Linked DNA regions of Xenopus tropicalis. The protein of the gene in region 1 interacts with the protein of each later gene in a biochemical or structural test. Links are inferred from orthologs where the notes say so. Each region holds a gene or a part of one and is shown on either strand. Other genes may lie near its edges. The genes, in order: anapc2 and securin.

Region 1 (3,816 bases):
GAGAGAGAGAGGGAGGAGAGAAAGAGGGAGAAAAAGGGAGGGAGGGGGAGAGAGAGAGAGAGAGAGAGAGAGAGAGAGAGGGAGGAGAGAAAGAGGGAGAAAAAGGGAGGGAGGGGGAGAGAGAGAGAGAGAGAGAGGGAGGAGAGAAAGAGGGAGAAAAGGGAGGGAGGGGATGAAAGTGGGAGGAGAGAGAGAGGGAGAGAGAGGTAGGGGGAGAGAGAGAAAAAGGGAGGGGGAGAGAAAGAGCCAACCAAAAGTCTCTTAGGGGGGTGATGTAATTAAAGGCACTAAGTTTGCCCAGGAGCAGTAACCCATAGCAACCAATCAGCAGGTAGCATTTACTGGTCACCTGTTTATAAGCAAACACCTTATTGGTCGCTATGGGTTAGTCCTGGGCAAACTTAGTGCCTATTATATATGGGGGTTAGAAGGTGCCCCAACCCAAGCCGCAGGCCCCGCCCCCACTTACCTTCAGCATAACCTCACAGTAGTGCATCTGGGCCTCCCCAAAGCGCAGCTTCAGCAGCTCCACATTGCGGATTTCTCTAAATACGGGAGAAGCAGCAACAGTCATACATCTGACCGTGTATTTTAACTGTGCGCTATGGGCCTAGTTGGGCGCAATGGGGCGGCGGGCGGTACCTTTCTGAGCTGTAGTTGAACTGGTGCAGGAGCCGCTCGGCCAGGAGGGTGCGGTACTCGTTAATAAATAGCTCTTTGCTGCCGTAGATACTGACCAGGAGGCTGATGATGTCCGAAGAGCGACGCTTGGAGCTGCTTTTGCCTGGGGGCAACAAGAGAACAAGGGGGTTACTAATGGGGTGGGGGAACTTTCACTATATTATAGAAGTTCCTAGCAACTTTGCAATTGGTCTTCATTTTGTATTTTTTTTTTTTTTTTTTTAAACTTTCCCTTCTTCTTATGACTCTTTGCAGCTTTCAAATGGGGGTCACTGACCCTGGCAACCGAGAACGATTGCTCTGTGAAGCCACATTTTTATTGTTATTGTTTGTTTTATCTCTTATCCTCCTATTCTGTCCCTCACTTATTTATCTTCCAGTCTTTTGTTGGAACCACTGCCTGGTTGCTAAGGTAAACACAACCCTAGCAACCAGATAGCTAGGCAATCAGGAGGGGTAAAAACACTACCATACTGCACTTACCCGGGTCAGCATCTACAGGATCCGGCAGCCAATCCTCCGCTTCGGACACGTCGTCGTCGCTCTCCTGCCCATTTTCCAGGACGGGGTCCGCCTTAGAAAGCTCATTGGCCAAGTCGGCGGAACCTTCCGCGTCCCCGGTTAACCCGGCGACAATCTGCCGGACAGTGTCCTCTCTTGTCCTATCGGGGACACAGGCAGGGTTTGAGCTTTCATATTAATCCTTCAAATACAGGTAGGGGGGACCGGTTACCCAGAATGCTCGGCACCTGTTACCCAGAATGCTCGGCACCTGTTACCCAGAATGCTCGGGACCGGGGGCTTTCCGGATAAGGCATCTTTCCGTGATTTGGATCTCCATACTAGCAATCTCTACCACATACTATAAATTAAAGGGGAACAACCCCTTTAATAAAGTTCTCAAAAACCCCCGGAATTCTTCCGGATACCTCAGATACTTCCTTATGGGCTCACAGGCGACTTCCAGAATAACCATGGAAGGGTCCAGCTCCCTCAGGGCTTTAATGGCCGATATGTACAGGGTGATAATGTCGGATGTATTCACTCCTAATAAACAAACAGAAGCATCAAAAACGTACTAAGGATACACTTGTTCTATTTAATTCTACTAAGGCCTAGCCAGTCTGCAGGGCTGTAATAACAAAACCCCCTAAAATGACCCTAAACAGCCCCCACGATGACAAACCTTTCTCCCTCCACCTTTCTCTCCTCATTTTCTATTACAAGCAGCTGAACTGCAGCTCTTTTACCGACTTCCTTGTTTAGAGTGAAGCGCCGCCCCCTGAGCCCTCCTTCTGGGTCCAACTATGAAGACCTCAAAGAGGGTTCTGCTCCGATTCAAAATCAATCAGGCATGCCCATTAGGCACCTCTTTGGGGTCTTCATAGTTGGAGAGAGAAGGAGGGTTCAGAAAGCAAAAGGGGGAGGAGTTTCATGTTAGACAAGGAAGTGACCAAAAGAGCTGCAGTTGATCTGGCTGTAATAACGAAACAAAATAAATCTCAGTCCAGATCGTACGGCACTTCCTTTCCCCATAAAACAGATAGAGAGGATTAGGGCAGAAATAGACCCACTGACCAGGGTGCAGAAGTCGGGTTTCCAGAGCGTTCTTCAGCGACGTTAACAGCTGTTGCCTCTGATTTGTTCTTTCCAGGCAAAACTTTAAATCTTCGATGGCAGGCTTGGATTCGGGGAAGTCTACAAGAAAGAAACGTTGTACCACAGTTGCGGTCTCTCTTTGATGGTTAATGTAATAAGCCCCGCCCCCTGTACTCCTGCCTCCATCCTCTGAATCCCACAATGTGCATGTGATGTCAATAAGGACCATCCCAGTGCAATGCATTGTGGGTTATGTAGTTCCTGCCTGCTGTCGGTAAGCTGTGGAGAAGTTGTTACAATTTGTCAGTGTTTTAGTCCCTCCTCCCCAGCCAGGAACTTGTTTTGCAGCCGGATTTCAGCCTATAAGAATGGGATTTATTCCTCTCTCATAGGGATATTAGGGGTTTCTGTGTTTAATAAATTTTGCTTCCCCTTTAGGCTGACCGGTCACCTCTGATGATGTTGAAGAGCTCCTCGATGCGCATACTGGCATAGAGCCGGTAGAAGAACCGCTGCACGTGGCAGCGCCAACGCTTCAGGGTGCTGCTGGTCTCTGGCGTAGTCGGCGGGACCGTCCCATCCTGCAGGAATACTTTGCTGAGCCAACCAATCACCTTCTCGATCCACTGCCAGAACAAGTGACCACAAGGTGAACCCCCTACCCTGACTGATTTAGTCTTATACACAGACATGCCCTATATCCAACGTTACCTCCTGAAATTCCCCGAGGAAGGATCGTTCATACTCCCCGCGGCATCTCTTCTCCATCCGCTCCTCGATCATCTTGTGCAAAATGGTGGTCACTGCGTCCGAGCAGATTCTCTCCAGCAGATTTAGCCTGTGACTATAGAAAAGCAACAGTTTCAGCCCCTTCCACATATTCCTGGTTTTTCTGTTTTTGTTCAGCAACTCTGTATTTGGCATTTTAGCAGCTAGCTGGTTGCTAGGGACTTATTTACCCTAGCAACCAGGCAGTGGTCTAAAGGAGAGATGGGAATATGAATAGGGGAGGGGCTGCATAGACAGATAAGGAATAAAAAGTGACAATAACAATAAAACTGGAGCCTCACAGAGCAATAGGGTTTGGCTGCAGGGGGTGCAGTTATCCTGTTGCTAGGGCTCAAATTACCTTAGCAACCAGGCAGTGGTTTGAATGAGAGACTGGTATATGAATAGGGGAGGGGCTGAATAGAAAGATAAGTTAGAAAAAATAACAATAAAACTGGAGCCTCACAGAGCAATAGGGTCTGGCTGCCGGGGTCCAAAATACCCTAGCAACTAGGATATGAATAGGAGAGGGGCTAAATAGAAAGATAAGTAACAATAAAACTGGAGCCTCACAGAGCAATAGGTTTTTTGGCTGCCGGGGTCAGTGACCCCCTTTAGGAAACAGAAATTAAAGGCAAATAATTAGAAAACCATAAGAAATAAAAAAAGACCAATTGAAAAGTTGCTAAGAATAGGCGATTCTATAACGTACTAAAAGTTCATGTAAAGGGGAACTACCCCTTTAAGATCAGTTAGAGAGTGACGCAC
Region 2 (4,321 bases), on another chromosome or scaffold:
AGGTTTTAGCATGCAAACAGTCACACAGAGGTCCACAAGGTCTAGATAAAACATTATGATCCACATTATATTACTTTACAAAATTTGAGAAGTATATGCCTTTACTCAAACAGTTTAAACAACAAGGCTTGTGCTGAACACACTTGCCTACTTTAATCACATTAAAACATTTCCTCACTTAAACAGGAAAACCAAAGCTGTTTCAGGTTAGGTTCTTGCAAAAACAGTTACCAGTGCACCAATAACTGTCCTGCATAATGGTGTTCCACTCATGTTTAGGTCAATATAATTAGAGGCTCATTTGTAAAGAGTGGGCAAATGTGCACCTGGGCAGTAACCCAGGACAACCTATGAATTTTTTGCTTTCATTGGGATAATTATTTAAAAAATAAATAATGCATTTGCTTTCCAAATTAAAAAGACCAACCCCTCCCCAATGGTTTAGGACAATGGCACTTCGCTTATGGCGTATATTTTTGACAAGACAAAAAACGCTTGCCAAAAATAAAGCCATACGCTGCTACCTGCGCCCCAATCCGAATGAATGTGCAGGCACATGTAGCCGATATCCGACGAAAATACGAAGGCTCACATTTTTACGCGGATATCTGCCACATGTGCCTGCACCAGAGGCCATTCCATTCATTTGGGTGCAGGCACAAGGTAGGCTAAATTTACAGTAGCGGGGCGTATTCTCAGCAAGCATTCTTCGGCTTGCCGAGAAAATGCTCATGTGGCATTAGCCTTAGGAGGAACCAGAGAATTCAGAGAAATTTCATGAAAAACCCATTTTAAAAAGGAAATAATTGAAGAGGATGCACCAAACTTTAAAGGAGAATGCAAGTCAAAATATAAAAAGCATACTGCCCAATAGTCCTCCTATTGTTTAGTAAAACCGCCACACTTTTGGCTCACCTAATCAAATATTTACTGAGTCACACTTACTTCACATTGTTTTCTTGAACAGGCAGCCATCTTTAAAAAAGGTATTCTCCCTTCCTTTCCCTCCTTGCTTCATACTGCACATATGTTTCATTCCCCCCCCCCTCGCATTTGCATGATTATGCTTGTTTTAGCTTAATCAATGAGGCAATAATAACATTGTATACATTTTTATTTAAAGGAAAAGTAAAGCCTCCAGGCAAATTTTTAGCAGCAGTGCCCCCCTCTTTAATCACTTCACTGACACTTGTTGCAACTAACTTGAGCCCTCATAGCATGTCCAGAACTACAGAGCTGCATTGGCCCCCACCTTTAGCTGTGCCCCTTCTGTTCCCAGCTGCCATCTTGGTGATCAGAAAATAGCACATACACACTGGCACCCAAACTGGGACATTGGGGTTGGACTGGCCCTGGATAAAAACCTGGTGGGTCTTAGTCCAGTTGGGCCCCTTTTTACCAAGCATGTTGCTGCTGGTCAGTAGGGGCTAGAGAAGAAGCTATTTAGACCCTTAAATCTTGTTACAGAAGTGGAATTACACAAATATAGAACACATTAGAAAGCCCAGCTTGTCTTGAAAATGATGTATAGTTTCCCTTCAGGAAATACCCCCAAAATGAAATGACAAATACTGCTGGCAAAATCCTTATTCCATGGTTCATGTAGCTGTGGGACTGGGTTTGATGACGACAGATTTACGAAGAGCTAAAAGCAAATTTATAAAATGTTGGCAAAAGGACAAAATCTGAAAGCTGCCTGTTTAAAAAACAAATTCACAAAAGTGGAGATAGAGATTTGAGAGTTAGGTGGAAAATCCAACAAATCTCCCTCCACTTTTATTTTGTCTCATTATCACCACTTTTGTGAATTCCCCCTTGTGTAGGACAAGGTGGATTGCAGTGGGAATAATCTCTAGAACACAATACAAAGCTAGACATTAGTACAGGTATCGGACCCCTTATCCGGAAACCCGTTATCCAGAAAGCTCCGAATTACGGAAAGCCCATCTCCCATAGACTCCATTATAATCAAATAATTCAGAATTGTAAAACGGATTTCCTTTTTCTATGTAGAAATAAAACTGTACCTTGTAATTGATCCCAACTAAGATATAAATAATCCTTATTGGATGCAAAACAACCCTATTGGGTTTAATTAATGTTTTATTGATTTTTTAGTAGACTTAAGGTGTTGAGATCCAAATTCCGGAAAGACCCCTTATCCGGAATACCCTTGGTCCCGAGCATTCTGGATAATGGGTCCTATACCTGTACCATAAGAGACAAAATGCAAGAAAGTGCAAAGTAGAAAATATTCAGCTTTGTGTCTTGTAAGAGGTCAAAAAGCTAGATGTTTGTCTAGCCATGTACCATAAGCGCAAAAAAAAAAATTAAAAAAAATTCATTTTATGAAAGTCTAGGGAGCCATTTGGAAAAGGTATAATGTGGCACAGAGCTATTTTCACGTAAATGAAGAACAGGGCAATGAACAAACAACTACAATTCATGGGGTACATAACATTAGTGCCCCCTGAGTCTATGGTTTCTTGCCCTTTAAGAACACTCAATCGGAATACATAATTCAAAGCTGTGCTGTAATCAATAAAATATGGGATTGGGTGTAGGGTGGGAGAGAAAAAAAACCCTCGTTTACTGCATCCCCACTTCAGTCACTGGATGTCTCTAGGGACAAGAGTCATAAGCAGTACAGTTAAACTTACAGACAATAGATTTGGCTAGATATACGCCACTACACAGAACTGCAAGTTAAAACAAAAAAACAAAAAAAAACACACACACAAACGGCCTTTACCCGCCAGCGCAAAGGCAACACACGACACAACGTTACGCTTGCTCACGGACCAAGAAAGTAACGCCGGTTCGCCTCGTGACTTACGGTAAGAGTAAAGAACATCAAAGCACCAGGCTGGGAAAGTGAAATTTAATCAAGCATCCACAACTACCTGTAACTTCTTGCGGTTACCAAACAAGGCCAGCTAGAAATCAGAATCAGTAGCCACCCACAAAACAGAGAAGCCGCGTCTAGTAGCCGTCACCTGAAAATACTTCTCAAAGACTTGACCGTGCAGCACCCAGTCCTGCGGCTTTTAAACACAAAGTTGTCTTCCCATTGGCTGAAGACCTGTAAAGCTCCCCGCCCTTTTACTAACGGCTTTGATATCATGAATCGTTGTGAAAGGGGAAGGCAGTTGCAAAACTACAGACACGTTTTTCTCCACGTTTGGATACAATACACTCAAAGATTTCTATAGTATTCTCTGCATAAATGTGGCTTCTATATATTTGCATGTTTAAAAGTTTGTTTAGTGGGGTTTTAACTTTAATTTTTATATTTTTAAGATGCAGACAGTAAAATTAAAAGACAATTTGTAATTGGTTTGCATGTTTTATTCATTGTGGTTGTTGAATTTTTTCCCCCCATACCAATCAGAAAGCTATGTTGAAGAGATAATAGAATATAAACGGTAGAGGGCCTATATAAGGCTAGTGCCACACAAATCCACCCCTATGCTCTGTCAACCTCCCCCCCCCCCCCCCATTTCTTCAAGAGTTACCTGATTTTGAAGATTCTTCCCTGGTCACTTGTCCCCCAGCAGGATTCTCCCGATTTTGAGGAAGTCAAACAAAGTTCAGTGATGAATTTAGGGCGCAGGAACAAATTTTCAGGCTCCAATTCCCCCTGCTAACATAGCTGACAGCTCTGTAAAGGGATTATGTAGTTAATTGCACTATGTTTGCCCAGGAGCAGTAACCCATAGCAACCAACCAGCAAATAAAATGTACTGGTCACCTGTTTAAAAGCAAACATCTTATTCGTTGCTATGGGTTACTGCTAATGGGTAAACTTAGTGCCTTTCATTACATATGGGGGTAAAGATCTTACCATACCCCCGAACTGTCCCGCTTTCCACGGGACTGTCCCGGTTTTAATAGCGCATCCCGCTGTCCCGGATAGGTCAATGAATGTCCCGCATTTCCGTAATAGATTACGGAAATGCTGGACATTCATTGAAGTATCCGTGACAGCGGGAGGTGCTCCTTCTTCAGCGGTTCCTCTCCTTATGCGGCCTCTTGTGCGGTGGTGACAGGCCCTTTTATAAGGTTGCGCCTCGTGCGTATTAACGTCACACATACGCACGGGGCACAACCTTATAAAAGGGCCTGTCACCGCCGTATAAGAAGCCGCATAAGGAGAGGAGCCGCTGAAGAAGAAGGAGGCACTGTATGGGGGGTACTGTCTATGGGGGGGCACTGTGTATGTGGGGTACTGTCTCAATTGGGGGCACTGTGTATGGGGGTACTGTCTCAATTGGGGGCAATGTGTATGGGGGGTACTGTCTCAATTGGGGGAACTTACTAT

The links.
Region 2: the proteins of anapc2 (region 1) and securin form a complex in vitro, tested with the Homo sapiens proteins (2 studies listed by BioGRID, with this or other methods). The link is inferred for Xenopus tropicalis from reciprocal best matches to the Homo sapiens genes ANAPC2 and PTTG1.

What each region holds. Positions count from the first base shown.
Region 1 is NC_030684.2:1,699,746-1,703,561, forward strand, and holds part of anapc2 (anaphase-promoting complex subunit 2), read right to left. Parts: intron 3,125-3,816; coding exon 2,992-3,124; intron 2,907-2,991; coding exon 2,732-2,906; intron 2,380-2,731; coding exon 2,260-2,379; intron 1,729-2,259; coding exon 1,611-1,728; intron 1,344-1,610; coding exon 1,165-1,343; intron 785-1,164; coding exon 643-784; intron 546-642; coding exon 470-545; intron 1-469. UniProt on the Homo sapiens protein: Together with the RING-H2 protein ANAPC11, constitutes the catalytic component of the anaphase promoting complex/cyclosome (APC/C), a cell cycle-regulated E3 ubiquitin ligase that controls progression through mitosis and the G1 phase of the cell cycle.
Region 2 is NC_030680.2:46,748,331-46,752,651, forward strand, and holds the start of securin, read right to left. Parts: upstream 3,038-4,321; 5' UTR 2,904-3,037; intron 1-2,903. UniProt on the Homo sapiens protein: Regulatory protein, which plays a central role in chromosome stability, in the p53/TP53 pathway, and DNA repair. Probably acts by blocking the action of key proteins.